Pelodiscus sinensis: one gene and its partners. The main gene of each other region encodes a partner of the protein of the gene in region 4 in a complex. Links are inferred from orthologs where the notes say so. Each region holds a gene or a part of one and is shown on either strand. Other genes may lie near its edges.

Evidence for each region.
Region 1: the proteins of TRMT112 (region 4) and METTL5 are in contact, whole or in part, in a crystal structure (PDB 6H2V), measured with the Homo sapiens proteins. The link is inferred for Pelodiscus sinensis from reciprocal best matches to the Homo sapiens genes TRMT112 and METTL5. Residues at the interface, in NP_001359000.1 of Homo sapiens: Met1, Lys2, Leu4, Thr5, Leu8, Leu9, Ser10, Ser11, His12, Phe21, Pro22, Leu23, Pro34, Val35, Asn38, Asn40, Phe41, Arg44, Met45, Lys48, Glu92, Arg111, Gly112, Ile113, Pro114, Asn115, Met116, Leu117; in NP_001280115.1 of Homo sapiens: Asn52, Lys53, Val54, Gly75, Leu76, Val78, Ile82, Leu87, Asn91, Thr100, Ile102, Asp103, Met104, Val105, Gln106, Cys107, Asp108, Asn114, Arg115, Met116, Ser119, Phe120, Asp121, Arg150.
Region 2: TRMT112 (region 4) and THUMPD2 share a complex: the UniProt entries of both Homo sapiens proteins name them as parts of the heterodimeric THUMPD2-TRM112 methyltransferase complex. The link is inferred for Pelodiscus sinensis from reciprocal best matches to the Homo sapiens genes TRMT112 and THUMPD2.
Region 3: TRMT112 (region 4) and THUMPD3 share a complex: the UniProt entries of both Homo sapiens proteins name them as parts of the heterodimeric THUMPD3-TRM112 methyltransferase complex. The link is inferred for Pelodiscus sinensis from reciprocal best matches to the Homo sapiens genes TRMT112 and THUMPD3.

The regions. Positions count from the first base shown.
Region 1 is NC_134717.1:39,992,352-40,000,520, forward strand, and holds the start of METTL5 (rRNA N(6)-adenosine-methyltransferase METTL5), read right to left. Parts: upstream 3,326-8,169; 5' UTR 3,203-3,325; intron 3,106-3,202; exon of another isoform or gene 3,086-3,105; intron 153-3,085; exon of another isoform or gene 7-152; intron 1-6. Other genes in the region: E3 ubiquitin-protein ligase UBR3, read left to right, coding at 3,464-3,900. UniProt on the Homo sapiens protein: Catalytic subunit of a heterodimer with TRMT112, which specifically methylates the 6th position of adenine in position 1832 of 18S rRNA.
Region 2 is NW_027465841.1:138,859-147,374, reverse strand, and holds the start of THUMPD2 (U6 snRNA (guanine-N(2))-methyltransferase THUMPD2), read left to right. Parts: upstream 1-4,998; 5' UTR 4,999-5,038; coding exon 5,039-5,155; intron 5,156-8,516. UniProt on the Homo sapiens protein: Catalytic subunit of the THUMPD2-TRM112 methyltransferase complex, that specifically mediates the S-adenosyl-L-methionine-dependent N(2)-methylation of guanosine nucleotides, most probably at position 72 (m2G72), in the U6snRNA of the major spliceosome.
Region 3 is NC_134721.1:19,628,671-19,636,174, reverse strand, and holds the start of THUMPD3 (tRNA (guanine(6)-N(2))-methyltransferase THUMP3), read right to left. Parts: upstream 3,199-7,504; 5' UTR 3,050-3,198; exon of another isoform or gene 2,946-3,049; intron 2,535-2,945; 5' UTR 2,480-2,534; coding exon 2,222-2,479; intron 1-2,221. UniProt on the Homo sapiens protein: Catalytic subunit of the THUMPD3-TRM112 methyltransferase complex, that specifically mediates the S-adenosyl-L-methionine-dependent N(2)-methylation of guanosine nucleotide at position 6 (m2G6) in tRNAs.
Region 4 is NC_134721.1:33,162,938-33,169,716, reverse strand, and holds TRMT112 (multifunctional methyltransferase subunit TRM112-like protein), read right to left. Parts: upstream 2,569-6,779; 5' UTR 2,462-2,568; coding exon 2,381-2,461; intron 2,269-2,380; coding exon 2,167-2,268; intron 1,944-2,166; coding exon 1,851-1,943; intron 1,237-1,850; coding exon 1,135-1,236; 3' UTR 974-1,134; downstream 1-973. Other genes in the region: PRDX5 (peroxiredoxin-5, mitochondrial), read left to right, coding at 3,150-3,164, 4,877-5,011, 5,444-5,575, 6,416-6,454. UniProt on the Homo sapiens protein: Acts as an activator of both rRNA/tRNA and protein methyltransferases. Together with methyltransferase BUD23, methylates the N(7) position of a guanine in 18S rRNA.

The DNA of each region.
Region 1 (8,169 bases), on a different chromosome or scaffold from region 4:
ACCTACCTCATTGCACGGCCTCTCGCCACACGGTGCAGCAGTTTAACTTGTCCCCTATGCACATATGAAACTGAGACCAGCACTGGCAGTTCCTATTTAGTCCCAAGCAGCTATTAGCAGCGTTGTACCCTGCCCCTAGGCACCTTTCCTTTCCCTCTTTGCGCTATGCAGGCGGTTGTAATCTCGTCTGCGTCTCAGGTTAGTAGTAGACAAGGTTGGTAAGGTAATACCTGTTATTGGCCCAATTTCTGCTGGCTGAGAGACAAAGCTTTAGAGCCCTTGAATCACCCCTTTATATATGCAGAAAATACTTATGCTAAACCAGTGGTTCTCAAACTTTTCTCTTTGCACATAGCAAACCTGTGACTATGAAAATTAAAAACACTTTTTAATATTTAACAATATTATAAATACAGGAGTCGAAGCAAAGCTTGGGGTGGGGGAGAGGCTGACACCTCATGATCCTCACATAACCTTAATAACTCCCTGACGGCTCACCCTGCCATTTGGTTTAAGAAACCATCCTAACCATGCTGTCCTATGTGTATTTAGCTGGCAGGCTTCAGTACTTTTCTCAGACCTGAAGAAGAGTTTTGTTTAAGTAGCAACACTTGTCTCTCTCACCAATGCAAATTGGCCCAATAAAAGTTACCACCTCATCCATCTTGTCTTCCCTGCTTTGCTCCTTCTAGACCAGTGATGGGCCACAAAGACTAGTGAGTGGATCGCGTGAGTGGCCCTCTTTTGTCTCAGTGGGCCGCATGATCGCCAATGGTGGATAACCTGCAGACCACAGACCACTGCACTTCCACCTGTGGCAACCTCCCTTTCTGCTTTCTTCTCCCACATGCCTCTCACACACTGGGACACCAGAACCCCACACTTCCTACTTCTCTCCCTCCCAGAACTTTTGATTTGCACTCCATCCCCCCCACCCTCCCTGCCTCTCAGCTGATTTGTGGGCATTCAAGCTCTGGGAGAGAGAGAAGTGATGGAGTGTGAATTAATGGATTCATGGCACTCTCAAAGTGCTCAGGGAGGGAGAAGGAGTAGGAAGAGCTGGGCTCTAGTGCCCTAGTGTGCGAGGGGGAGGAGCTCAAACAGGGGGTGTATGGGATGCAGCCCCCATTGGGCTGCATGTAGCCTGTAGGTTGCCCAGCACTGTTCTAGACACAGCAGAAAGAAACAGAAGAGATCACCATATGAGCCTTTTGGTTGGCAGAGTTGAGAAAAATACTCCCCTCTTTTGCTGGTTTGTCCTCTCTGATGAATTGAACTTGGGCTTTGTGAAGGACACACACACACCCCATGCATCTATAACTGAGTACATATTTTTGCAAATGCATATTTGTTGGAGTAAATACATGAAGATCCTATCTTTTTAATTATTTTTCCAACAAAGTGCATATGTTAAATGTTTTGCAAAACACTTGCAGGTTCAGGGCTCTCTAACAGTTCACTGACAAATAAATGTCTGCAACAAAATTCAAGTTTCAGTTCTCCAATGCAGTGATTCAGGAGCTATTAGGTAGCTTTGAATTCCTCCCAGGTCACCATTTCTCTAGCAGCTATCTCTTTATTTCATATCATAGTCGTTGCTTAGCACCAGATTTTAGTGACCAAAACACTGGCAGCTTCACTGTCTACTGGAAAGATTGTCATCTTTTAATAGATTGGGCTTAAGTGTTTTTACACTCATTTGCAATTCCTAGAATTCTAGTGAAAATATATCATGCTGATTGCACATTATTCTTTGGATTTTTGTTCCTAATGTACCAAAATACAAGATTAATTATTTTATTGATGGAGTATGCCAGCAGGAAAGTGAGACACAAGTAATGTTTTCACATCTCTTTTTCAGCTCTGCAAAACTCTCAGTTCTTTTCCTAGACCTGAAGAGCTCTGTGTAGTTTGAAAGCTTGTCCCTTTTACTGGCAGAAGTTCGTCCAATAAAACATATTACTTCACCCACGATATTAAATATCTTGGGACCAACATAGCTACAACACTACAAGCACAGCCGTAGGAATAATGGTGTTGCAAAACCAGCAGAGGGAGCATGCACTTTTTTATTTGTTAAGCCAAATAAAATATAGGTTTATTTTTGTTAAAGCAACAGATTTTTTATTTTAAATTTGCCATGAGACAGTGGTAAATCTAATTATCATTATAATAGCCAACAGTTGTAAATTTAAAAATACTATAATCCAGAGGACGTTCCCTAATAATCGGTATCAGATAGCTGCATTGGTCAATTTCAGAAAAAACAACACAAAGTCCCATGACACTTTAAAGACTAATTAATTTATTAGGGTACTAGGGTATAAGTGCTGTTCCTGCAGTTTACAGTGCAGAACTTCACATGGATACAGCAGTAGTCTGTATTGTAAATTACAGGACTAGGTCTTATAGCAGCTCAAATTTGATTTGTGGTTTCATTTACTTAATAGCAACTCTATTCCTTTATTGGGGATGTTAAATTTAGGTTATTTTAGTAATTGAATAGTCAACAGAATTATTGACTACTCCATAGTGGAAGGCAGCCCCACTCAGTCCTGGCTCACACCAGGACCAAACCCCACTACAGCTCTTCAATTTAAAAGGTAGTAGGAGCTGGGGGTAGACTGCCTGGCTCCTACTGCCTTTTAAATTGCAGAGCCACACCAACAACTACCTGCACCCTCCCATTGCTGCCTTTGATACACTTATTGGTTAATCATGTGGTTCACTACACATTGATATCCCTAATCTAAGCAGAAGGTTTTTACTTGAAGATTAAAAATATTTATTTTATTAGTATAGGTTATAATCTTTCTAGAAATATTTTATTTCTCTAAGAATACAATGGCACAATGCAATTGATACAACTTTTGCAAGTGACCTGTCTATATTTAAATTTGGACGGGCGAGGATCACAGATAAAAGCTAATATTATATCATTTAGCTTTTAAAAGGTCAAAACTTGTATCCATTTTCTCTTAAACGTTTCGAGTGAAACCTGCACAAGCCACCTCCCTAAGCAAGCTTCTGCCGTTTAAGCACCTGTCTCACACGGCTCACTTTCTTTTGTAGCGAGGGCTGCAAGAGTCTCAGATGAGAGGCGCTGTAAGTACCACGTCAAGTACGAGGCCGGGCTACAAGACACAACAATGCCCCTCTCTTTAAAGTTGCTGGGAAGTTACCTCCTTGTGTGGCGACCTACCTAGGCCGTGCCCAGCGCAGGGCGCGTGAGAGGCGGCCGGCGGGCTAAGAGCAGGGCCTGGGAGGAAGCGGAGGGACAATGTCAGGCGGAGGCAGACACGGGGCGGGGGCAGCGGGCGGCTTGCGACGGGCACGGTGCCGGCTCCCAGACTATCGCGAGAGAGGCGCCGCTAGGAGTGGAGAGAGGGCGGGGGGTAGGAGCCCCAGAGCCGGGAGCCCGGCGCAGCCGTAGCGGCTCCTGCGTCCAGCCTCAGCGCTCATCATGGCGGGGGCTAGTGCGAGCGGCCGGGAGAAGCGGGCCACGGCGGCGCGACTGAAGGCGGCTCTGAGCGGCGGCGGCGGGGAGAGCGGGGCGGCGGCGGAGCTGCAGGCGCTGCTGGAGCGGGCGCTGGCCGCGGGCGGCGGGGAGGCGGCGGCCGAGGCGCTGGAGTGGTGCCGCTGGCTGCTGTCGGGTGGCGAGCCCTGGGAGGACTTCGTGCAGGCGGTGCGGGCCTACGACCCGGCCACGCTCTGCGGCCTGGTGTGGACGGCCAACTTCGTGGCCTATCGCTGCCGGACGTGCGGCATCTCGCCCTGCATGAGCCTGTGCGCCGAGTGCTTCCACCAGGGCGAGCACGCCGGGCACGACTACAACATGTTCCGGAGCCAGGCAGGGGGCGCCTGCGACTGCGGCGACGGCAACGTCATGCGGGAGGCCGGGTGAGCGGCGGGGGGTGACGGGCGGCCGGGCCTGGGCGGGCGAACGGGCCCGGGAGTGAGGAGCGTTGGAGCGGGGCCGTTGGGGCCTGTGGCTGCGGGCGTAGGGCCGACACCTGCAGTTGCTGCCCTAGTGGGTGGGCCTAGGACTGCAGGTGCGTCCTTAGGTGGCCCCTAAGGGAAGGGGTGGTACCTCTGGGGAGAGTTGTTTTTTGGAGGAGGAAGGCGATTAGGCTGGTGCAATGGTGCTAATATTTAAACACAAGGCGTAGGCAGAAATGTCATGGCTTAACTTGTGATAGGCTCTGTGACCAAGGTGCAGGTGCCGAGGCCAGAAGACCTGCCGGAATGTATTCATTTGTTTTCCCATGTAAACCCATATCCTTTCTCATGTCCAGGGAGTTAGGGAGTGCTAAGAAAGTAACCACAAAAATGGCTTTGTGGGTTTCATGCTTATTGTGTATCCGTGACTCAGTGTCAAATGTGTTCTGTGTACAAGTAAAAAAGGTACATTTTTAGACAACATTGTCAGCCCTGCAGAATTGATCTTAGTCAAGCTGGGTTCTTCTCATGCCCTGTTCCATCACCAGCAGCATAGGTTTTGCAGGTTAAATTCTTAACTCCAGTGCATAAATGTACAGGGACAGTTGCACAAACCCATTGCTTTCTGGGCTTGCTCAGGTGTAACTGGCACTGTACACAGAAATTAGTTACTAAGTTGATAATGCATAAGAAGAAATTACATTCAACTCCATATTTGCTATGTTCATTGAACAGAACCAAACAAGACAAAAGAAGTCAAAATATTGATAAAATACACAAGAGATCAGCTAAGAGCAGGCCTTGCCTTAGGGCAAGGCAAGCAAGGCAGTTGCCTTGGGGCCCGCACTGCCCGGCGCCCGGCTGCTCACTTGTTGCTCTGGCTTGGTGCAGTCACCCACAACATACCACTTTGGGCCGCACAAACTCTTTGGCCAGGCCTAGCTAAGAGTGCCATTTTAACATATGCTTTTATCAGGTTACCTTACTTTTCACTTTAAATGCTGTTCATAACTTTTAAAACTGGGAGTCACTACTCTTATATGGGTGCTGTGTGATTCACAGAACAAGAAAAGTGAGCAGATACTTTTAATTAATGCTATTCCAGTTACAGTGTTGACTAGGCCTTGATATGTAATTGTAAGAAGGAGAAGGTATGCCTTTTCAAGGAAAGAGAGCAATCAAGTAGTAGTTACACAATGGCTAATTTGTAGATATGTCTTGATCATTCAGGGGATGAAAAAGATGGTAGTGGGAAAAGCATAATTAAAAGTAAACAGCAATAACACTACTTTGGTTACTTGAATATAGAATGTGTATTAGCTGACTTCCAAATGAACACCAGTTGTTTAACCACGTTACTCAGAGTAAATACTTAGTAGAACATATTAGATAATGTTATCAAAAGCTATCCAGTCCTGTTCCACAAAATTTTCACAATAATTTTCAGAAATGTAAGGAATGTTGTAGTCTCACAGAAGAATGATAGAAAACAAAAACACTGTATCACCTTTTGGGTGAACGTGTTCCACAGCCTTTTACAAGGTCCCTCATCAAAGACTCTTATGTAAATTAAATTGTCATGGGATAAGAGGGAAGATCCTTTAATGGATGGAGAACTGGTTAAAAGACAAGAAAGAAAGGGTAGGAATAAATGGTAAATTTTCAGAATGGAGAGGAGTAACTAGTAGTTCCCCAAGAGTTAGTCCTAAGACCAATCCTATTCAACTTCTTAATAAATTATCTGGAGAAAGGGGTAAACAGTGAGGTGGCAAAGTTTGCAGACGATACTATATTGCTCAAGATAGTTAAGACCAAAGCAGACTGTGAAGAAGTTCAAAAAGTTCTCACAAAAGTAAGTGACTGGGCAACAAAATGGCAAATGAAATAACATGTGGATAAATGTAAAGTAATGCACATTGGAAAAAATAACCCCAACTATACATATAATATGATGGGGTTAATTTAACTACAACTAATCAGGAAAGAGATCTTGGAGTCATTGTGGATAATTCTCTGAAGACATTCATGCAGTGTGCAGCGGCAGTCAAAAAAGCAAACAGGATGTTGAGAATAATTAAAAAAGTGATAGAGAATAAGATGGAGAATGTCTTATTGCCCTTATATAAATCCATGGTACGCCCACATCTTGAATACTGCACACAGATGTGGTTTCCTCATCTCAAAAAAGATGTACTGCCATTAGAAAAGGTTCAGAGAGAGACAACTAAAATGATTAGGGGTTTGGAACAGGTCCCATATGAGGAAAGATTAAAGAGACTAGGACTTTTCAGCTTGGAAATGAGGAGACTGAGGGGGGATATGATAGAGGTATATAAAATCATGAGTGGTGTGGAGAAAGTGAATGAGGAAGAGTTTACTTGTTCCCATAATGTAAGAACTAGGGGCTGCCAAAGGAAATTAATGGGAAGCAGGTTTAAAACAAATAAAAGGAAGTTCTTCCTCACGCAGTGCTCAGTCAGCCTGTGGAACTCCTTGCCTGAGGAGGTTGTGAAGGCTAGGACTATAACAGGTTTTAGAAGAGAACTAGATAAATTTATGGAGGTTAAGTCCATCAATGGTAGTTAGCCATGGGTAAGGAATGGTGTCTGTAACTTCTGTTTGTCAGAGGGTGGAGATTGATGGCAGGAGAGAGATCGCTTAATCATTACCTGTTCGGTTCACTCCCTCTGGGGCACCTGGCATTGGCTACTGTCGGCAGACAGGATACTGAGCTGGATGGACCTTTGGTCTGACCTAGTATGGCCATTCTTATGTACTTCCTCACAGTTCATGTCCTCACATGGAAACCTGCACAATACCTTTAGAAGACGGGCCTGGAAACTGAGGACATGTCTACACTATCTGCTGGATCAACAGGCAGCTATCGATCCAGCAGGAATCAATTGATCACATCTAGTATTGATGTGATAAATTGACTGTTGAGTGTTCTCCTGTTGACTCCAGTACTTCTTTGCCTACGCTCTTTGTTCAGTGTCTGCCATCAACTTATTGCAGTGAAGACACTACAGTAAGTAAAGCTAAATGTTTCAGCTTCAGCTATGTCACATAGCTGAAGTTACATAATTTAGATTGATGGCCCAAGGTAGTGTAGACTAGGTCTCAAATTCTTAACTCTGCTAGACACCAAAAATCATGTACTTAATAAAGAGTGAATTTATGGTTTATTACAACAATCTATAATTCCCCTTTGTCCTATGACTGTATAGGTGCAAACTGCTTGCTTCACCTCAAATGGTCTCTTGTAACATAAATTAACTCCCTATCTGTTCCACTTTGGGTTTGAGCTGTGGCATTCAGAATACCTTTCCCAGAGCTAAAGGAAAAACTCTGAATAAACCCAAAAGTGTGTCGTATTCATCAACAGAAGTCGATCCAGTAAAAAATACTACGTCACCCACATTGTCTCAGGAATGTGAGGAAACATGTACAGTTTCCCTTTCTTCCTTTTACACCTTTTTTATTTTTTAGTTAAACAAGTCAATCTAATTCATTCTATTCTTTTTTTCTGAAGTCCTATTTAGGATTTTTTCTTATCCTGCTTGTTTATTTTTTTTAAAGTTGTCTCCTTGACTCTTTCTTTTCCAGTAGTAATTTCCATTCACCTGCTCTGTTACCTACAACTTTACTAACTATTGTCTGTCTCTCTTGTTACCTTTTCTCTTTTGCTGCTCTTGTAGTCTGTCTTCTTTACTTCCACCTTTTTCCCCTCTCCCTTTTTCTCTGAACCACTCTCCCTCTTCAGTTCCCCTCAGTTGGATGGGCGCTCTCTCTCTCTCTCTCTCTCCTTTCCTTGGTCTTAATTAGAATATTAAAACCATGAGGTCTGTGATCAAGCTGGTTTCTTGAAGCAGTCAACTATCTCTACGTAGCTGGAGTTGGCTTACCTGAAGCCGAATTTGACACTGTCTTCGCAGAGAGAAGTTGATGGGAGCAAACGTTCCCATTGACTTGCCTTTCTCCTCATGACTGTGAGAAGTACTGGTGCCACCCTTAGCATTTGATTTGGCAGATCTTAACTAGACCCGCTAAATCAAATGCCAGAAGATTGATCTCCGGCACAGCAAGTGAAGACATGGCTTTAGGTGAGAGCAGGAATAACAGATTCCTGGGTAATGGAAGGCCAGAGAAAGAGAAGACTTAATTGGCAAACCAATCAACAATCCATTTGTGATGGACACAGGGCAGAATTTTAATGGGATGTGGCCAAAT
Region 2 (8,516 bases), on a different chromosome or scaffold from region 4:
GTAACAGTTTGACCTACTGCTTCTTTGTCTGGGGGAGCCCAGCTTGTACCCGTAGGATTTGGCTGAATAGGTCCCAAAACGGTGGGTTTACGGCTCAGGGTCCACAAGGGGGGAAGGGACAAAGCAGCTGGAAAATCATATCCCTAGAGCTCTGCAAATTCTCAGCTGTGGGTGTGGATTTGCATGGCTTGTTTTTCTTGCTATGGAGGCAGACCTAGAATCCTGCAAATGTGTAGATACCCGCTTTATATCTGGGGGGCATCTGCAGATCGCTTGCGGATGTGGATAACAATTTTATATCCACACAGGGCTCTACATATTGCTCCCCCGGATCCCCTAACCTCTCATCTCACAGTCCTCCACTGTCTTGGGCCCCCAGCTGCATACCCTGAGAAGGGGAAAAGGGAGGACCTGTTTGGCCTTTGTTGCACAGAGGTGATGTCACAGCAGTGCCTTATGGGAAATGTTTCCCTGGCCTCCCATCTAGGCTGTCTCTACACTGGCGTGATCTTGTGCCAAAGTGGCTGCTCTTGCTGCCTGTCTACACTAGCCGTGTGTTCTTGTGCAAATAAACTGATGTTCTACTGTATGAAATCAGGGCTTGGCGCAAGAGCTATGATGCTCCTGGTCAGGAATAAGCCCTTTTGCGCAATTGTTCTTGCGCAAGAGGCCAGTGTAGACAGGCAACATGAATTTCTTGCGCTAGAAAGCCCTATGGTTAAAATGGCCATCAGAGCTTTCTTGCGCAAGAGCGTGTCTACACTGGCATGAATGCTCTTGTGCAAAAGCACATGCCAGTGTAGATGCTCTCTTGCACAACTACTTTAACACAAGAAGTCTTGCGCTAAAGAGTTTTTGCACAAGATCATGCCAGTGTAGAGGTCCTACAGTATAGTTATTGAGGCCCCATGGCACTATGGGAAATGTATTTCCTCCTGCCTCAATCTCCCATAAGCTATTGCAGGCCCCAGCGTCCTGTGGGAAATGTATTTTCCCAGGCCTCCATCTCCCATCAGCCAGTACAGGCAATGTACGGTTAGTGTGGGGCCAAGAGGGATGCGCAGGACAACTGAGGAATACTGTCAGGGAAGAAGGCCAAATTCTTCCTTGACAGTCTGCATTTTTCTGCCTACTCCAAATACCAATGGGCTGAGAAACAATCTCCACTCATTGACATATCTGCTTTCCATGACTAACTTTGCATATGTTCCCCTGGGTGTGCATAAAACGCACTGGCTATGTCTACACTGGCGGGTTCTTGTGCAAGTACAGCCATTCTTGCGCAAGAACCCGCAGAGCGTCCACACTGCCCACCCTCTCTTGCACAAGAAGATTTACAGTACGGCGTGATAAGAGGGCTTCTTGCATAAGAGCTATGCTTTTTTAACAGGTGTAAGCCCTCTTGCGCAGGAGCTCCTGCGTAAGAGAGCAGTGTGGACACTCGGCAGGGATTTCTTGCACAAGAAAGCCCTATGGCTAAAATGGCCATCAGAGCTTTTTTGCGCAAGAGAGCATCCACACTGCCATGGGCGCTCTTGCACAAAAGCACAGCTTACACATGGCAGTGTGGATGTTTTCTTGCACAAGAAGCCGTGAGTGTAAACATAGTCTCATTCACTGCTATCTAAACTGTGCTGTTGAACATGCACGCCAAAATCTGGGTCAGCAATTGTGTAGTGCATGTATCGTGAGTTCTTAAGCAAAATTTAATAATTAGATAATTCAACTCTGATGTACAGATCCTTTCCTCATAACTTATACACCATGTGAAGTTTTATTTCCCCTGCCTTTATCTCCCATCAGCCATGTGGGCACCATGGGGAATGCACACATTTGTGGGTCTTAATGTCCACCCACTGTCCTTTTCCTATCCCTGTTCCGTGGCTCTGCTTCCTCTAGAGAGGATCTAGTTAACTTAAAGAGTGTAAAAGCCTGCCAGAGCTATTAGCAGAAAGAGCCATTCAGTTGCTAACGAAGCCAATTTAACAGGCATTTGCCAACTCCAGGTATATAGCATGTCCTTTCTGAAAATACGGTGTTAGTTCACAGGACCTTAGTTTAAATTTTCTCCTGGGGCTACTAGACCAGTGTTTTTCAACCTTTTTTTTTTTTTTTTTAATAAAGTACCCCTTTTAAAATATATGTATCCTCTTAAAAAAAAAAGTACCCCCAGTACCTACAGGTTTTTTTCACACATTTTTTTCCCCATTGCAACACATTTGTTTAAATAATTTAATCATAGCTGAGCGGACAATGAAATTTTTGCATGTAAAAAGTACAAAAATAATTAAGCACTGTTAACAAAAGTTCAGTTTTCTCCAAATTTCAGTTGCGTTGAATTACCTCTCCCCCCCCCCCGACGTCTCTGGAGTACCCCTAAAGCTACTTGTACCACTAAATCATAGAATCATAGAACTGGAAGGGACCTCGAGAGGTCATCGAGTCCAGCCCCCCGCCCTCAAGGCAGGACCAAGCTCCGTCTACACCATCCCTGATAGATGTCTATCGAACACAGTGTCTTCTCCTTGTGTGCAATGAGATAATGTAACAGTGTGTGACAAACAGGAGATGCTTTTGTTTTTCTGCCTCAGCATCCCAATCCGTCCAATGGGAAAGGAACATCTGTGTCACTCCTGGCAGAAATGAGAATGGGCATTAAAGCACTCTGTGGAGGAGAAAGGATTGTGTCATGGTGTTGAGTGCCAAAGCATTTGGAAATTTGCTAAAATGTCTAGTCTAGAGGAACAAGAAATGGCCGGAGACAAATCCCACAGGAAGATGTGCATGAAAGAGGCTGGGGTTTGTACTGGGGTCTGACTAGAGCTTTATACCCCTCACTGTCCCTTGGCAGATGCAGCCTCTGACCCGTGGTGGCTCTGCAAGGGGCTTGATGAAGAGTTGGAGGCTGGGTGGGGGCTCTGTGGGCAGACTCCCAGACACAGAGGGGGCTGGAGGCCGGGAGGGGGCTATGTGGGCAGACTCCCCTGACACAGAGGGGGCTGGAGGCCGGGAGGGAGCTCTGTGGGCAGACTCCCTTGACACAGAGGGGGCTGGAGGCCGGGAGGGGGCTCTGTGGGCAGACTCCTGACAGAGGAGTCTGGAGGCCGGGGGGGGGGTGGCGGCTCCGTGGGCAGACTCCCCAGATGCAGAGGGGGACTGGAGGCCGGTGGTGGGCTGGGGGCCGACTCCCCAGATGCAGGGAGAGCCGGGGGGCAGACTCTCCAGACGCAGGGGGGGCTGGAGGCTGAGGGGGGCGGGGAGCGGACTCCCCAGACGCAGAGGGGGGCTGGAGGCCGGTGGTGGGCTGGGGGCAGACTCCCCAGACGCAGGGGGAGACAGGGAGGCAGACTCCCCAGACGCAGGGGGAGACAGGGAGGCAGACTCCCCAGAAGCAGGGGGAGACAGGGAGGCAGACTCCCCAGAAGCAGGGGGAGACAGGGAGGCAGACTCCCCAGACGCAGAGGGGGGCTGGAGGCCGGTGGTGGGCTGGGGGCAGACTCCCCAGACGCAGGGGGAGACAGGGAGGCACACTCCCCAGACTCGGGGGGGGGGCTGGAGGCCGAGGGGGGCTGGGGGCAGACTCCCCAGACGCGGGGGGGGGGGGCTGGAGGCCGGTGGTGGGCTGGGGGCAGACTCCCCAGACGCAGAGGGGGGCTGGAGGCCGGTGGTGGGCTGGGGGCAGACTCCCCAGACGCAGAGGGGGGCTGGGGGCAGACTCCCCAGACGCAGAGGGGGGCTGGGGGCAGACTCCCCAGAAGCAGGGGGAGACAGGGAGGCAGACTCCCCAGACGCAGAGGGGGGCTGGAGGCCGGTGGTGGGCTGGGGGCAGACTCCCCAGACGCAGGGAGAGACAGAGAGGCACACTCCCCAGACTCGGGGGGGGGGCTGGAGGCCGAGGGGGGCTGGGGGCAGACTCCCCAGACGCGGGGGGGGGGGGCTGGAGGCCGGTGGTGGGCTGGGGGCAGACTCCCCAGACGCAGAGGGGGGCTGGAGGCCGGTGGTGGGCTGGGGGCAGACTCCCCAGACACAGAGGGGGGCTGGGGGCAGACACCCCAGACGCGGGTGGGTGCGGGGGGGGGCTGGAGGCCGGTGGTGGGCTGGGGGCAGACTCCCCAGACGCGGGGGGGCGCAGGGGGGGGGCTGGGGGCAGACTCCCCAGACGCGGGGGGGGGCTGGGGGCGGCTGGGGGCAGACTCCCCAGACGCGGGGGGGGGGGCTGGGGGCAGACTCCCCAGGCGCGGGGGGGCGCTGGGGGCAGACTCCCCAGACGCAGAGGGGGGCTGGAGGCCGGTGGTGGGCTGGGGGCAGACTCCCCAGACGCGGAGGGGGGCTGGAGGCCGGTGGTGGGCTGGGGGCAGACTCCCCAGACGCGGAGGGGGGCTGGAGGCCGGTGGTGGGCTGGGGGCAGACTCCCCAGACGCAGAGGGGGGCTGGGGGCAGACTCCCCAGACACAGAGGGGGGCTGGGGGCAGACTCCCCAGACGCGGGTGGGTGCGGGGGGGGGGCTGGAGGCCGAGGGGGGCTGGGGGCAGACTCCCCAGACGCAGAGGGGGGCTGGGGGCAGACTCCCCAGACGCGGGTGGGTGCGGGGGGGGGCTGGAGGCCGAGGGGGGCTGGGGGCAGACTCCCCAGACGCGGGGGGGCGCAGGGGGGGGCGCTGGGGGCAGACTCCCCAGACGCGGGGGGGGGGCTGGGGGCAGACTCCCCAGACGCGGGGGGGGGGCTGGGGGCCGGTATTCAGGGCGCACTGGACGGTACGTTCTCGGCTGTAGGAAGAGACCGGAAATCCGATCTGTCTGCCGGGGACCTGCCGCCGCCCGCGTCGCTCACACGGAAGCGGGGCCGGGGCCGGGGGGCGGTCAGTAGTGGGCGGGGCCGGGGGCGGGAGGCTGAGGGGACGGAGCCGGGGGCGGTCAGTAGTGGGCGGGGCCGGGGGCGGAGCGGGGGCGGGAGGCTGAGGGGGCGGGCCGGGGCGGTCAGTAGTGAGCGGGGCCGGGGGCGGGAAGCTGAGGGGGCGGGGCCTGGCGGGCGGCACGCGATGGCGGGCGGATCGGAGGCGCCGGGCCGGGCCGGGCTCCGCTATTTCTGCACCGCCGGCCGCGGCCTGGAGCCCTTCCTGCTGCGCGAGGTGCGGGCCCGCCTGGGGGCCACGGAGGTGAGGGGCTCGCCCGCGCGGGGGGGGCTCTGCAGGGACCCAGGGCTGTTGGGGGGGGGGCCGGGGTTGGTCGGGGAGCAGGGGGCTATGGAAGTGGGGGGGGCTCTGCAGGGACCCAGGCTGTTGGGGGGGGGCTGGGGTTGGTCGGGGAGCAGGGGGCTATGGAAGTGGGGGGGCTCTGCAGGGACCCAGAGCTGTTGGGGGGGGCCGGGGTTGGTCGGGGAGCAGGGGGGCTATGGAAGTGGGGGGGCTCTGCAGGGACCCAGGGCTGTTGGGGGGGGGCCGGGGTTAGTCGGGGAGCAGGGGGGCTATGGAAGTGGGGGGCTCTGCAGGGACCCAGAGCTGTTGGGGGGGGCTGGGGTTGGTCGGGGAGCAGGGGGCTATGGAAGTGGGGGGGCTCTGCAGGGACCCAGGGCTGTTGGGGGGGGGCTGGGGTTGGTCGGGGAGCAGGGGGGCTATGGAAGTGGGGGGGCTCTGCAGGGACCCAGGGCTGTTGGGGGGGGCTGGGTTGGTCGGGGAGCAGGGGGGCTATGGAAGTGGGGGGGCTCTGCAGGGACCCAGAGCTGTTGGGGGGGGCCGGGGTTGGTCGGGGAGCAGGGGGGCTATGGAAAGTGGGGGGGCTCTGCAGGGACCCAGGGCGGTTGTTGGGCTGGGGTTGGTCGGGGAGGCAGGGGGCTATGGAAGTGGGGGGGCTCTGCAGGGACCCAGAGCTGTTGGGGGGGGCCGGGGTTAGTCGGGAGCAGGGGGCTATGGAAGTGGGGGGGCTCTGCAGGGACCCAGAGCTGTTGGGGGGGGCTGGGGTTGGTCGGGGAGCAGGGGGCTATGGAAGTGGGGGGGCTCTGCAGGGACCCAGGGCTGTTGGGGGGGGGCTGGGGTTGGTCGGGGAGCAGGGGGGCTATGGAAGTGGGGGGGCTCTGCAGGGACCCAGGGCTGTTGGGGGGGGGCTGGGGTTGGTCGGGGAGCAGGGGGGCTATGGAAGTGGGGGGGCTCTGCAGGGACCCAGAGCTGTTGGGGGGGGGCCGGGGTTGGTCGGGGAGCAGGGGGGCTATGGAAGTGGGGGGGCTCTGCAGGGACCCAGGGCTGTTGGGGGGGGCCGGGGTTGGTCGGGGAGCAGGGGGCTATGGAAGTGGGGGGGCTCTGCAGGGACCCAGAGCTGTTGGGGGGGGCCGGGGTTGGTCGGGGAGCAGGGGGGCTATGGAAGTGGGGGGGCTCTGCAGGGACCCAGAGCTGTTGGGGGGGGCCGGGGTTGGTCGGGGAGCAGGGGGGCTATGGAAGTGGGGGGCTGTGCAGGGACCCAGAGCTGTTGGGGAGCGCTGGGGTTGGTCGGGGAGCAGGGGGCTATGGAAGTGGGGGGGCTCTGCAGGGACCCAGGGCTGTTGGGGGGGGCGGGGTTGGTCGGGGAGCAGGGGGGCTATGGAAGTGGGGGGGCTCTGCAGGGACCCAGGGCTGTTGGGGGGGGGGGCTGGGGTTGGTCGGGGAGCAGGGGGGCTATGGAAGTGGGGGGGCTCTGCAGGGACCCAGGGCTGTTGGGGGGGGGGGCTGGGGTTGGTCGGGGAGCAGGGGGCTATGGAAGTGGGGGGGCTCTGCAGGGACCCAGGGCTGTTGGGGGGGGGGCCGGGGTTGGTCGGGGAGCAGGGGGCTATGGAAGTGGGGGGGCTCTGCAGGGACCCAGGGCTGTTGGGGGGGGCTGGGGTTGGTCGGGGAGCAGGGGGGCTATGGAAGTGGGGGGGCTCTGCAGGGACCCAGGGCTGTTGGGGGGGGGGGGCTGGGGTTGGTCGGGGAGCAGGGGGGCTATGGAAGTGGGGGGGCTCTGCAGGGACCCAGAGCTGTTGGAGGGGGGGCCGGGGTTGGTCGGGGAGCAGGGGGGCTATGGAAGTGGGGGGGCTCTGCAGGGACCCAGGGCTGTTGGGGGGGGGGCTGGGGTTGGTCGGGGAGCGGGGGGCTATGGAAGTGGGGGGGCTCTGCAGGGACCCAGGGCTGTTGGGGGGGGCTGGGGTTGGTCGGGGAGCAGGGGGCTATGGAAGTGGGGGGGCTCTGCAGGGACCCAGGGCTGTTGGGGGGGGCTGGGGTTGGTCGGGGAGCAGGGGGGCTATTATGGAAGTGGGGGGGCTCTGCAGGGACCCAGAGCTGTTGGGGGGGGCCGGGGTTAGTCGGGGAGCAGGGGGCTATGGAAGTGAGGGGGCTCTGCAGGGACCCAGAGCTGTTGGGGGGGGCCGGGGTTGGTCGGGGAGCAGGGGGCTATGGAAGTGGGGGGGCTCTGCAGGGACCCAGGGCTGTTGGGGGGGGCCGGGGTTGGTCGGGGAGCAGGGGGGCTATGGAAGTGGGGGGGCTCTGCAGGGACCCAGAGCTGTTGGGGGGGGGGCTGGGGTTGGTCGGGGAGCAGGGGGGCTATGGAAGTGGGGGGGCTCTGCAGGGACCCAGGGCTGTTGGGGGGGGCTGGGGTTGGTCGGGGAGCAGGGGGGCTATGGAAGTGGGGGGGCTCTGCAGGGACCCAGGGCTGTTGGGGGGGGGGGCTGGGGTTGGTCGGGGAGCAGGGGGCTATGGAAGTGGGGGGGCTCTGCAGGGACCCAGGGCTGTTGGAGGCGGGGCCGGGGTTGGTCGGGGAGCAGGGGGCTATGGAAGTGGGGGGGCTCTGCAGGGACCCAGGGCTGTTGGGGGGGGGCTGGGGTTGGTCGGGGAGCAGGGGGGCTATGGAAGTGGGGGGCTCTGCAGGGACCCAGGGCTGTTGGGGGGCGGGGCTGGGGTTGGTCGGGGGAGCAGGGGGGCTATGGAAGTGGGGGGGCTCTGCAGGGACCCAGGGCTGTTGGGGGGGGGGGGCTGGGGTTGGTCGGGGAGCAGGGGGCTATGGAAGTGGGGGGGCTCTGCAGGGACCCAGAGCTGTTGGAGGGGGGGCCGGGGTTGGTCGGGGAGCAGGGGGCTATGGAAGTGGGGGGGCTCTGCAGGGACCCAGGGCTGTTGGGGGGGGCTGGGGTTGGTCGGGGAGCAGGGGGGCTATGGAAGTGGGGGGGCTCTGCAGGGACCCAGGGCTGTTGGGGGGGGGGCTGGGGTTGGTCGGGGAGCAGGGGGGCTATGGAAGTGGGGGGGCTCTGCAGGGACCCAGAGCTGTTGGAGGGGGGGGCCGGGGTTGGTCGGGGAGCAGGGGGCTATGGAAGTGGGGGGGCTCTGCAGGGACCCAGGGCTGTTGGGGGGGGGGCTGGGGTTGGTCGGGGAGCAGGGGGCTATGGAAGTGGGGGGGCTCTGCAGGGACCCAGGGCTGTTGGGGGGGGCCGGGGTTGGTCGGGGAGCAGGGGGGCTATGGAAGTGGGGGGGCTCTGCAGGGACCCAGGGCTGTTGGGGGGGGGGCTGGGGTTGGTCGGGGAGC
Region 3 (7,504 bases), about 14 Mb from region 4:
TTGTTGCCCAATCACTTAGTTTGGTGAGATCTTTTTGAAGCTCTTCACAGTCTATTTTAGTCTTACCTATCTTGAGCAGTTTGGTATCATCTGCAAATTTTGCCACCTCACTGTTTACCCCTTTCCCTAGATCATTTATAAATAAGCTGAATAGGATTGCTCCCAGGACAGACCCTTGAGGGACCCCACTAGTTACCTCTTTCCACCCTGAAAACTTACCATTTATTCCTACTCTTTGTTTCCTGTCTTTTAACCAGTTATCAATCCACAAATGGACCTTCACTCTTATCCCATGACAACTTACTTTACTTAAGAGCCTTTGGTGAGGGACCTCGTCAAAGGCTTTCTGGAAATCTAAGTATACTATAGCCACTGGATCCCCCTTGTCCACGTTTGCTGACCCCCTCAGAGAACTCTAGCAGATTAGTAAGGCATGATTTCCCTTCACAGAAACCATGATGACTTTCCCCCAACAAATTATATTCATCCATGTGTCTGACAATTGTATTCTTTGCTATAGTTTCAACTAATTTGCCCGGTACTGACGTTAGACTTACTAGTCGGTAATTGCCAGGATCACCTTTAGAGCCCGTTTTAAATATTGGTGTCACGTTAGCTATCTTCCTTTCATTAGGTATGAAACCAGATTTAAAAGATAGGTTACAAACCACAGTTAATAGTTCTGCAATTTCCCATTTGAGTTCTTTCAGAATTCTTGGGTGAATGCCATCTGGTCTCGGTAACTTGTTACTGTTAAGTTTATCAATTTGTTCCAAAACCTCCTCTAATGTCACAGATTGAAGTGTCAAGTCCTCAGATTTTCACCTACAAAGGACGGGTCAGGTTTGGGAATCTCCCTAACATCCTCAGCCATGAAGACCGAAGCAAAGAATTCATTTAGTTTCTCTTCAATTACTTTATTGTCTTTGAGTTCTCCTTTAGCATCTTGATCATCCAAGGGCCCCACTGGTTGTTTAGCTGGCTTCCTACTTCTTATGTACTTAAAAACATTTTACTATTATTTTTTGAGTTTTTGGCTAGCTGTTCTTCAGACTTCTTTTTGGCTTTTCTTATTATATTTTTACACTTAATTTGACAAAGTTTATGGTCCTTTTTATTTTCCTCACAAGGATTTGACTTCCACTGTTTAAAAGATATATTTGTATCTGTCTCTGCTTCTTTTACCTTGTTATTAAGCCACGGTGGCACTTATTTGGTTCTCTTACTGTGTTTTTTAATTTTGGGTATACATTTAAGTTGGGCGTCTTTTATGGTGTCTTTGAAAAGTTTGCATGCAGCTTGTGGAGATTTTACTTTTGTCACTCTACCTTTCTGTTTACCTAACTTCCTCATTTTTGTGTAGTTCCCCTTTCTGAAATTAAATGCCATAATGTTGAGCTGCTGAGGTTTTTTTCCTACCACAGGGATGTTGCATCCCATCCTGAGATGACGTGTACCCAGTCAATATGGGGATAGTTGAAATCCCCCACTATTATTGAGTTTTTAAATTTGATAGCCTCTCTAATCTCCCTCAGCATTTCATAGTCACTATCACTGTCCTGAAAAAGTGGTCGATAATCCTTACTGCTATATTCTTACTATTGGAGCATGGAATTACTATCCATAGAGATTCTATGGAACATTTTTGGTCCAGAGAGATAGAGGAGGCACTTACAAATTACTACTAGAATATTTTGTATATAGTAGAGTATTATGTAAGTTTGTTTGTGTGTATACATATATAGGTAGATTTTAATACTAGAATATATTGTTTATAAGAGACTGGAATATAATTATTTTTATTTGTAAAAATTATTTCTATGTTTAGTCACAATGGTGAAAAGAAAGAATAGGGTTTCTATGACTTTTTTAAAATGATAGTTCAAGATGTATAAATTCCAGTTTAACAGCAGTCATAGTCAAATACAGATGGGGCTGCATTTCAGCTGTTAGTTAAATATTTGCAGAATATACAATTAGTGAAATCTTTCAACATATAAAAAGCATTATTTATCATTAATTTAAGATGATGATAACATTAGAAATGAACCCAATGTTTAGCATTCATAATATTCAATTCATATACAGAAAATCACTAACTGATCATTTAAATTTGTACATCAAAGGGAGAAAACAAGGCCCAGGACAAATAGGGGGAAAAAAAGGAATACCAATAAATTCCTAACCTAGATAAGTTACCCAAGGAACAAAATATGCAAACCTGTGAAAGTTTCTCTACTGAAATTTCAAAATAGATTTTTCCTCGGTCCTTGCTTATTCTGGACTGTGATCCTAATTTCTCTTTCACTTCATCTGCTGCTGTGAACTCAAAACCAGTTGGTACAGTAGCTCCAATAGTGACCACGGTCTCTTTCAGGCTTGAATGGAGATCACTGTCTGTGTTTTCAGTTAAAGGTTTATGTGTATCATCGAGGTGCACGTCTGCTAAGGTGTCAGAAGCCTCTTCAATATCTGACATTTTGACAGCACTTCAGACCCCAGCGCGACTATTATATACAGTGGCAGTAGCACTCCTGCAAAGACAAAAACGGTCTAAGCATGGCACGTACGAGCCAACCCTTCAGTGCGTCTCCTCTGAGCGAGGAGGGACGGAATAAGCATCAGTCTGGATTAAACAAGGAGTTTGAGCCTGGCCTAAGCGAAGGTCTTCCCCTACCCATGGCCAGCGCTCGCTGAGGCAGCTGGGGGAGAGGGCGGGAGGGGGAAGGGTCTCCCCGCCACCGTGCCCCCGCTCCACCGGGCTACGTGGGGAGCGAGCGGCTCGCGCCTCCTCCGTTCCGCGCGCGGCCTGGCGGGTGGCCCCTGGGGATAAGCTCGCGAGGCGGCTCCTCGCGAAGACTTCACCTCCGAGACTAGGGCGGACGCGATTCACCGAGGCCCCCCCGCTGCTGCCCGCTGGTGGCTTCCCCACCCGGGCTCCTTACGTTCCCTGCGGCCGCTCACCCCCCCAACCCGCTCCTCGGGGCGCAGCGTTCTCGGGCTGTCCCAATGCTGGGGGGAGCAGGGACAAAGACCGTCTGTTAGTTACCGGCGGCAACGGCCAAGAACGCACAGCGCGTGAGGGGCGCCGGCAACGCTACTTCCGGTCCGTGGAGGTCAATCGCTACCAAGCACTTCCGGGGCTGTCCCTCCTTCCGGCGTGCGACCGGGGGGGGGGGGGTCGCTTCCCCCTCCGAGATCCGGGCCGGGCCCCGCCCAGTGCCAGGGCGTGCGGCTTCCTCGCGTTGCTGGGTTACGTTGAGGCCGTGCCTAGAAAGCTGGTCCGGTTGGTGCGTCTTGCAGACAGGCTCTATCTTGCCGCCTCGTCTGCCCCGTGCACTGGGCGTAGCTACAGCTACACTGCACCCGCCGCTGGGCCGCGACTCACATTTGACTGAAGCCCCTGATTGCATCCAGGGATGTGGAAAGTTAACGGGTGAGCGTCACCCGGTTCACGGCTGGGGGCTGGAGCAGCTCCTCGCCTGCCGGCCGCTCCAGCCCGGCCAGAGTCGCTCCTGTCCACAGAGGGCGTGGGAGCACAAGCTGCAGGCTGGGACTGTAGATAGTTTCTATCTTTTCAAATATATTGATTTCAGTTACAATACAGAACACCCCGTGTACAGTTCTCACTTTACACTTATTTTTATTACAAATATTTGCACTATAAAAAACAAAAAAGTATTTTTCAGTTCATCTAATAAGTTTTATACAGGCAGTCCCCGGGTTATGTACAAGATAGGGACTGTAGGTTTGTTCTTAAGTTGAATCTGTATGTAAGTTGGAACTGGCATCCAGATTCAGCTGCTGCTGAAACTGACCAGCGGCTGACTACAGGAAGCCCGAGGCAGAGTTGCTCTGCCCCAGGCTTCCTGGAATCAGCCACTGATCAGTTTCAACAGCAGCTGAATACTGCCTGTAGGCGGGTATTGTAGTTTCAAGAATGCTTGGTGAAGATCCTGTAGGTGTTTGTCTCTCTCTGAAGGGTTGGAGCAAATGCAGTTGTACCTTAGTGCTTGGCTGTAGACAATGGATCGAGTGGTGTGTCCAGGATGGAAGCTGGAGGCATGAAGGTAGGCATAGCAGTCAGTAGGTTTTTGGTATAGGGTGGTGTTTATGTGACCATCACTTATTTGCACTGCAGTGTCCAGGAAGTGGATCTCTTGTGTAGACTGGTCCAGGCTGAGGTTGATAGTGGGGTGGAAATTGTTGAAATCATGGTGGAATTCTTCCAGAGCCTCCTTCCCATGGGTCCGGATGATGAAGATGTCATCAATGTAGCATAAGTAGAGAAGGGGCGCTAGTGGACAAGAGCTGAGGAAGCATTGTTCCAGGTCAGCCATAAAAATGTTGGCATATTGTGGGGCCATGCGGGTGCCCATAGCGGTGCCACTGGTTTGGAGGTATATATTGTCACCAAATCTGAAATAGTTCTATGTGAGGATAAAGTCACAGAGCTCAGCCACCCATTGTGCTGTGGCATCATCAGGGATACTGTTCTTGACAACTTGTATTCCATCTATGTGTGGGATGTTGGTGTAGAGAGCCTCTACATCCATGGTGGCTAGGTTGGTGTTTTCTGGAAGATCACCAATGCCTTGTAGTTTTCTCGGGAAATCAGTGGTGTCTCAGCTATCTAGCTGGGAGTGCTTGTGGCATAGGGTCTGAGTAGAGAGTCCACATATCTTAATTTTCTCGTCATCTCTACTGCATATTTGCCTTTAAGAATAGAGCATAGCTAGTTCACTGTTAACATGCAGAGCCCAGTTTCACCCTTGTGGGTCTTTGGCAAGTGTACAAGAACCTAACCAATTCATTTCCATTCTCTGAAAAGAGGAAGACACTCTCTAGGGTGACTAGAACAGAACTGTAGCATAATCTGAATAAAGACTATAGCTAGCTAGAGAGAATACTGACTAATTTAATTAAATGTGTTACATGGGGTTTTCATGCAAGAAAAATCCAGGGAAGATTCAAAAAGACAAACTGCAAAGCTACACTGTCCATTTGACTTAGTGGGGTCTGTGAAATATTAACGCACTTAAATTATCCTGGAGGTTTGGCAAGAAGAAGGAACTTCTTGCAATTGAAGTTTTTGATTGCATTTGGTATCTTCGTCAATCAAAATGGAATAAACTCAATCACTTCATTCGTTCTCTTATTTTCATACAATTTCATGGAACTGGACTATAAGAAATCAAACAGCAGACCAAACCAGTGGCCCATCCACTCCAAATGCTTCAGAGGACAGAGCAAGACACCTCACAGTGGACAATTATGGAATAACCTGGCCATTGAAAAAGTTTCGTCCTAATCACCATCCCTCAGTGACTGGTTTATGCCCTAAAGCAGTGGTTCCCAACCTTTTTTATACCATGGACTGGCAAACCCATTCACAAACTTTTGGCAGACCGGTAACAGTTTATTTGAATATTTGCATATTCATTATATGTGGTGGGCCACTGCCACAGCTGAAGACAGCTGTTCACGGTGGCTCTAGAAGCCAGTGCTGGGGTACGCCCTGGCTCCAGAGCCCCCCAGTGCCAGTCCTAATCCCTAGAATCCCCCACCCCTTCACTACCCTCTAGCACCAGCCACTGACCTCAGAATCCCCTGCACCCAACCCCTTCAGTGCCAGCCTCCCACCCTCAGAGTCCCCCAGTACCAGCCCCCCATCCCAAATGCCTCAGTGCCAGCCCTGCCCCTTAGAGCTTCCCACCACCTGACCCTGCCCCAGTGCCAGTCTCCTGTTTCCAAAGCCCCCTGTACCCAACATCCCAGAGCCCCCCTGGGCCAGCCCCCAGTTCCCAATATTAGCCCTAACCCAAGCCCACTAGTGTCAGCCCTACCCTGCAGCCCCCCACTACTAGCTCCACTCCAGAGCCCCTGAGTGTCAGCTCCCCATCTCTTAGGTTACGTCTACACTGTGGGTATTTTGCAAAAGAGGTGCTAATGGGTGCTAATTTGCATATATCATGCTCTCATTTGCATCGCTTTCAATCCTTTTTGCGGAAGCAGTTTTTACAATAAAAAGCCTTGTGTAGACAGGGCCATTTGTCAGAAAAAAACCCTTTTGTGCAAGAGCCTGTAAACCTCATTTTTTGAGGAATAAGGGATCTTACGCAAAAGGGTTTTTTTCCGCCAAATGGCCCCAGATGATGAAAATGACTCAGATGATGACAATGAGCATGCATCAGTCCACATTGCTTTGGATTGTTACCAAGCAGCAGTGGTCCCCAACGTGGTGCCCGCCGGGGCATTTATGTGCGCCCGTCAAACGATCTGGGCCAGCCCTGCCCCGCTCCGGGTGCACAGCGCATGCGCGGTACCAGCCTCGGGCATGTGGCGCATGGGTGGCCCCTGCCCCAGGCACGCAGCACATGCGTGGTGCCAGCCCCGGGCGCCCGGCAGCCCCAAAAGGTTGGAGACCACTGTCAAGCAGAAACCATCATCAGCACAGATGCATGTCCTCTGGAATGGTGGCTGAAGCACGAAGGGGCATATGAATCTTCAGTGCATCTGACACATAAGTATCTTGCAATACCAGCTACAGCAGTGCTACATGGATGCCTTTTCTCATTTTCAGATAAACTTAAAAAACAACAAATAGCCTGGTAGCACTTTAAAGACTAACAAAACATGTAAATGGCATCATGATATTTCGTGGGCACAGCCCACTTCATCAGATGACTGGAGTGTTGGATGTCCAGAACCAAAAGATGACATTGAACTGGGCAGCTTTATCTCCTGCAAATTGTAACCAGACTTGTTTGTCTGAGTGATTGGCTGAACAAGAAGTAGTACTGAGTGGACTCTAAAGATTTATATTGTTTTATTATTGAATGCAGATTTTTTTGTACATAATTCTATATTTGTAAGGTAAGATTTCATGATAAAGAAATTGCACTACAGGCAGTCCCCAGGTTACGCGGATCCGACTTATGTCGGATCTGTACTTACGAACGGGGCTTTTCTCGCCCCGGAGGACGCGGGCGGCGGGACCGCCCAGACGTGCCGCAGTCCCGCCGCCCGTGTCCTCTGGGGCGAGAAAAGCTGCTCCGCGGCTTTGCTCTGCGTCTCCCTGGTCTGCTGGGGGCTCTGCCCCCAGGAGACCAGGGAGACGCAGAGCAAAGCCGCGGAGGACCCAGGCGGAGGACCTAGTTTCATGAGGCATACCTGCGCAGTCAACAAAGGCTTCCTTGTCGACCGTGGCGTGTCCAGACTGCCCCGATCTGCCGACAAACAGCTGATCATCAGCTGGACGGCAGAGCACAGCAGCCATTTAAATTTAAATGAAGCCACGATTATTTAAATCGCGGCTTCATTTCCCTCTGCCGATCAGCCTAATCTACATGGCTCCATTGATGGAGCCATGTAGTTTAGACACACCCCTACAGTCCTCAGCTAAAACCTCTCCAACGCATCATCAGTGATCTACAACCCATCCTGGACAATAATCCCTCACTTTCACAGGCCTTGGGAAGCAGGCCAGTCCTCGCCCACAGAC
Region 4 (6,779 bases):
GGATCTGGGAACCCCAGTGAGTGCTAGTCTCCCCCCACACCCAAAATGGTTGAGAATCTGACAGGAGTGGGGATCTGACATGGGGAGCCCCTGATGTAGTTGGGCCCGGGCCGGGGGTGGTGACTAAGACAGAGAAGGCTTTGGAATTTGGAGAGGGGAAAAACAGCACTGTGATTGGGCAGCTGTACAGATAGGAAGAGGGGTTGCAAAGGCTTGGCCATATTGAGGGGGTCCCTAGGGAAGGAAACAGAGGCCAGTATCCCCTCCATCCCCCCTCAAGTTTCCTCTTGACCCTCTGCTGCCCATAGCAATAAGCCCCCCCTTTCCCTTGGGATGGGGTGAAGATGCTGAGAAACATGTACATAGCAATATATCAAACTGTATATTTGTTGCAGGATAATACGTGACCCCTTCATCTCTGCTCCCCTCTGGGGGTGTATCCTCAGTCTCCCCATTTCTATAACAAGTGGGGTGACATGGAGGGCGTTTGTATTAAATTATGTATGTGTATATATTATAAATACCTCTATTTTGTGTATAGGTGCTATACACACACATACATAGAGCTATATTCCAGAGCCAGAATAAACCATGGAGATATCAGTCTGTGTCCAGTCTTCCTTCCTAGCAGTTAAGAAGGAGCAGGATCTTTGTCTTGTTCTGTGTTTGTGCAGCACCTAGCCCACTAGAGGCCTTGCTCTTGACTGGGTATCTGAGCAGTGCCCACTCCACTGGGGGATCTGTTTCAGGTCTAGGACTCCTAGGTACCACTGCAAACCAAATAACTATCCAAGAGGAACAGAGAGTTCGGTGCAAGGTGTGGGGTAGGTCAATGCTCGGACAGACCCAGGACTAAGCATGGAGATGGTACTAGAACAGAAAGTCGCCAGCACAACAGTGGGTGGGAGGAAGCCCAGGGCTGGGATAGCTGAGAGCTGCAGGTTAGGACTGAGCGACACAGCAGGGGAGGAGGGACAATTAATAGATGATATGCCCTAGGCCAGGCTCCACCTCATAGTTTTATTTATACACAAACCAAACAAGCAAAGACTGTCTTCTACATCATACAGGACTCTCCCTCCCACCTCAGGGAGCTCCCCTACCCCATCTTTCCGTCTTGGACACCCAGGCCCTTCACGTCTCCTCCTCACTTAGCAGCATGTTGGGGATGCCCTTGGTGATGGGGAACTCCCGGCCAGAATCAGGGCACTTCAGTACACCTTCCATCACCTCCACCTGTGTGTGAGGAATAATCACGGGTCAGCTACAGTGGACAGCCTGTGCCCTGGCTCTACCCAATCCAGACCTGAAATGCTGTAAGGGAGAGCTGGAACTTCCCCAGAACACCAGTTTTCCCCTCTCAAATGTTTGAGATTAGAGGTGTTTTGCTGAAGTCACAACTCCCTAACCACCTCATGATTCTTAGCAGTTGGGGAGGGGGCAGGATGCTCTGCAAAAGCCAAAGGATCATATAATCCAAGTGCTAGAGTGTCTGCTGAACTGCCAGAACCCATGAGAGTGGATTTCAACACACAGCTAGAGCAGTGGGAGAATGCGCTGCACTATCAACATACTCTCACTGTGAGTGGGTCCCCTGGGCTTACATTTAGAACAAGAGCAACAACTGAAAGAGGTCCCCCACGCTGGAGGATTCCAGGGAGCCCTAGTGTCTCTATGGGTGGATAACTCCCCGGTGTCTCAGCCAGACCAGGAAAGGATCTGTGTTTGTATCATAGGCCCCTGTCATACAACCTTAGCCAGGGTTTTTGTGGTGCCTGGGAGCCAGGGCCCTGCACCACACAGGATGCTGGTGGGGGGTTGTGGACAAGGATTGTGGAGAAGAATCTCACCTCCAGCAGCACATGATGCACCTTCTTCAGGAAGTCTTCATTGTTCTCATACTCAGGAGGCAGCTGGGGAGGCAGGTCTGACAGGTGGCCCAGCTGTAGGAGGAGGAAGATCCATGTCACAGTGCTGCACCAGAAGAGAGGGTTTGCTCTTATCGACTCAGATGCTTCCCAAAACCACTTCTCTCCAATCCCCCCAAAGGCTGCAGTGCAGATCCATGCTGCCTATCTGCCATGATAGCGCCCAGAGTGAGCTCCTCCCCCTGCCAAGCTCCTCCCACCCATGCCCTGAACGGGCTAGCCCCTCCCCCGTACTCACGCTCTCAGCAGCCTCCACCAGGGCCCCCCACTCCACCTTGGGGATCATCCGTGCCACGAACTCCTGGTTGAAGTCCACGTTACTCACTTTCACCTCGGTGGCCTGCGGGGAGCGGAAGAGCCAATGAGGCGCAGCCGGGGCCCCATCAGGCCTATGGGGGGAGGAAATCAGCCCAGGCAGACGTGGGCCCCTGGTTGCTGGAGGATCCTGTTACCTGGATACGGAGGGGGAAGCCGCCCCCGGGCCGCACGCCCCGCACATGCGAGGTCAGCATGTTGTGCGTCAGCAGCTTCATCCTCGCGCCGCTCCCGCGCAGGGCGCCGCTCGCGTACTCACGTGGGAAGCCAAAACTTGGCTACTTCCGGTTCAATTCGCACCCCCCCCCCGCACAAACGCTGCTTCCGACTGGAATGTCCCTTACTCAAAAGGATCCGGCGGCTGGAAGGGAAACACGGGGCCCGAGCTGAGGGTTCCGGAGAGATGCGGAGATAGAGCGCCACCCCGAGGGATCCCGGCTACTCCACTGGGCCTCTCGTCCCAAAGGGGAAGAGAGAAGAATTGGACTGGAAACAAAGGGATTGATGTATGCAAATAATATTCAAATTACATGCAGTTTTGATTTAAGTATATGCACAAGATAGAAGAAAAGCAGCCATGAATCACAAAGCTTGTGTTAATTGTATGCAAATTAATGCCGCGCTACCAATCAAAATCAATCTGTGTAAAAAACACTGTACAAACTTGTCATGCAAATGAGCCACCTATGATATGCAAATGTTATGCAAACACAGACTTGTGGGTTGCGGCGCATGGGCATTCCATTCCACCCTGAAGGTGGCAGCCCCCCCCGGCCGTTTCCTTGGCAACTGTCATTCAGGCGGTCTCCATGGTGACTGTGTTGAGGGGTGTGGCGGGGGCTGCTGCAGGCTGGGCCCCCGGCGCCGAGCCCAGAGGATCCGGAGCTGCCGAGCCCAGCGGCTGTCATGGCGCCCGTCAAGGTGAGAGCGGGCGGGGCGGTGAGAGGGGCCACCGGGCCCTCAACCCTCCAACCTGCCCCGCCCCTGTCTGGGCTCCCCTTAAATCAGCCGCCGGCCGGGGCCCCCGCCAGAGAACCGGGGCCCCGAGCGGAGCCACCCCTCCCGAATCAGGGCTCCCCCTCGCCAGCCTGGCCTCGGGATCCTTAGAACCTGTGTCCGTGCCCCCAGGGCTCTTGCCTAACAAGGGGGCCCCGAGCGCCCCACACCCTCCAGATCTAGGGGGCAGGGAGAAGTTGGGAGTAGAAAGGACTGGTGGGGGGTGAATGAAAGGCAGGATGGAGAAGGGGAAAATGGGGGAGGGGTTAGGCTGCAGAGAAGGGGAGCTCGGTTATGGGGTGAAATGGGAGGCAGGAGTGGGGGGAGCTTGGGGTCGGAGCAGGCCCATATGCAGGAATTTCTGTGGGTGTGGGTGCCTTTTTGTAAATGTGCACCACAAAGGTGTGAATGCATCCCCCATGGCTCCCCCAAGTAAGTGGGAAATCAGCCCCAGCCTTCCCCTGGCTGGCTGGAGCATGCTCACTTGGGGGGTGCTTTTGCACCATTCGCACAAACCTCCCCGCCTCTCTACCTCCTCCCCCCACCCTCATACATGCCTGCAGAGGGAGCTGGATTGTGCAAGAGGGAAAACAGGGTAGAGGCTGGGGGAAGGGTAGGTGTGAGCTGAAGATGGTGGGTTGATTGTAAGGGATAGTGGGGGACGTGGAGGTTGGTTGGGATTGTGGGGGGATGATGAGCAGGCTGAGGTGGGAGGGTTATTGGATGTGAAAGGGAATAGGGCTGTTTAAAAACAGTTAATTAAGCAACTGTAACCACTGAAAATTCTCAGCTGGCTCCAGGCTCGCACCAGCTCCGCCTACAGCCCTTCTGCCGGAGGGGCAGCAGCAGCCAGCTCCTTGGGAGCCAGTGTGTGGCTCTCAGCCTTGCTCCCAGGCAGCTCATTGCTGCCCTGTGCTGCAGGCTCTTGATATAGAGCCCACAGCATGGGGGGGCAGCTGGCTCCCTGGGAGCAGGGCTGGGAGCTTGTGTGTAACTGTTGATGGTAACTAATAAGCCCAGACTTATCACGTAACTGTTCAAACAGTTATACTATTACATCTCTAAAGGGAAGTACACATGGCAATCCAGAAGGTTTTGGGTGGGTATGAGGGACAGGGAACTGGGGGAGGTGTCTAACTTATGAGCTTGAGTAATCTGTTTGGAAACTCCAAGGCAGAGGTGCTGAGTCACTGAGTCTCTACCCTGCTCCCTGCCCTGGATTGTTGTGACAGCACCCTTGCACATAGACACAACTGAGGGGTGCACATGGGGCTCTCCCTATGCCAAGGGGAAGCTCATCATAGGCTTTGTGCTTCTGCTGGAGGGGTGTCTTTCCAGGCCTGGGGGGCAGCTTCTGAGACAGGAAGCTGGCTGGATGGGAAGGGAGACCCCACCCCCCCTTGGTCCTCAGCTGCATAGGGTCCACATCTGCATCTGTTCTAGTCATGCCCTGTTGGTGCTGGGACAGAGGTGGGAGGGTTATAGCTGGGGCTAGAGGAACAGGCTCCTAGTTGGAATTCCTGAGTGTGGGTAGCTCCTACCCCCTGCACTGGAGTGGGAAGATGTTTGCCCTGAGTGGTGGGGTGGAAGGAGACATGGCAAGGCTTCCCCCAGCTCTCATCCTCTGTGTCCTCCAGGTTGGAGACAAGTTGCCCAGTGTGGAGGTGTACGAGGGAGACCCTGATACCAAAGTGGATGTGGCAGCACTTTTCAAGGGCAAGAAGGGGATTCTCTTTGGGGTGCCTGGTGCCTTCACCCCTGGCTGCTCCAAGGTGAGGTTTGGAGACCCCCCGCAGTTCCCTGTCTCCCCCCCCCCCACTACCTTACCCATTTTAGAATACACACCGACTCTAGAGCACCCCCACTCACCCTTTGTAATCCCTATCCTAGACTCCGCTCCCTGCTCCCTAAAAGCCCCCATCCCAAGGTGCCTTCAAGCACTCCTCAGAGTATCCCCATTCCCATCCAGTTCCTCAGAACTCATCCACCAGAGCACCCCTCCTCCCAAGCCCATCCCTGGAGTGAAGGGATTCACAGGATGCGCTGAGAAAGGGACACATATATGAGCTCAGTATATCCTGTCCAGCACCCTCCCTGGGTGCTGAGGGACATGCTGGGTGAAGGAGGTTCCTTGGGCTGATGTCTAATGCTCCCCCCACTCTGCTCTCATGCTGGGAAACTAATGCTCTTCTTGCTCTCCTCAGACCCACCTGCCAGGCTATGTGGAGCAGGCCGGAGCACTAAAGGCCAAGGGCATGGACTTGATTGCCTGCCTGGCTGTGAATGATGTCTTTGTCATGAGTGAGTGGGGCAAGGCCCACGGGGCTCAGGGCAAGGTGAGAAGTGGGGGCAAGGCCCACAAGGCTCAGGGCAAGGTGGGAGGGAGAAATGGGGACAAGGCCCAGGGGGCTCAGGGCAAGTTGTGTGTGTGTCGGGGGGGCAAGGGGGGGAGGGGAGAAGTAAGGGCAAGGCCCATGAGGCTCAGGGCAAGTGAAAGGTAAAGCGGGAGCAAGGCCCACAAGGCTCAGAGAAAGGTGGGGCATGGGGGCAAGGCCCTGAGGGCTCAGGCCAAGGTGGGAGGGGTAAATGGGGACAAGGCCCATGGAGCTCAGGGCAAGGGCAGGGGCAGGAGGGATGGGGACAAGGCCCATGGGCCCAAGGCAAGGGAAATGAAGGGGGGCAAGGCAGGAGTGAGTGTGGAAGTTGAGCTATGGCACCCAGGATGAGAGGGCCGCAATGCCAAAGCCTGGAGGAGCGGAGGGCTGGTGAGGACACCAGCCAAAGGGAATGTGCAGTGTACCAGGGCCATAGCAAGGGGAGCGAGGTTGGTGGGACTAGGGGTTCCTGGGCAGGGGGAGTGAGCAGGGGTCAAGGCCCAGAGCAGTGTCTTTATAGGGGGTGTATGGTGTTGAGTCTCAAGGGGCAGAGGAGGAGTCTCTTCTCCCTCATCCAGATGTTACCTAACCCCAAGGCTGCATGAGCCCTACCCCACCCCTGGGTGACTCATCCAGGCTACCAGGAGCACTTCCCTTCCTGGCAGGAGTTGTTGGTTGTGCAAGGGCCTGTAGATTGTGTAATTCCAGGATTGGGTGTAGCACTTGACACTCCTAGCCCTTGCCCCTGCCTCACAGCCACCTCCCCATTGGCTCCCTAAACCTTTCTCCCTTCCCCCCCAGGTGCGGATGCTTGCTGACCCCACAGGAGCCTTTGGAAAGGTAACATCCTCCCAATCCATGCCTCCATGTGCCAGCTGGTGGCATCATTCTTCAGGATTAGTTCCCATTTCCTCCCCCTCCCTCCCCTCATCTGTATGCCTCTCTCTGACCCTTTTCCCCCCTAACCAGCACCACAGCCCAGATTCAGGCTAATTCTCTTTCCCACACCACCATTTGCCTGTCCTGTCTTGACCTCTGCTCCTCCCCTTGTCCTCAGATCCAGCCCCTGCTCCAAGTGGGGGGTGTTCCTGCTCTGGGACTGTGGGGAAAGGGACTATGGAACCCCATCCTTCATTAGAGGCCTCCGGGGTTCTGCCTCCAAATG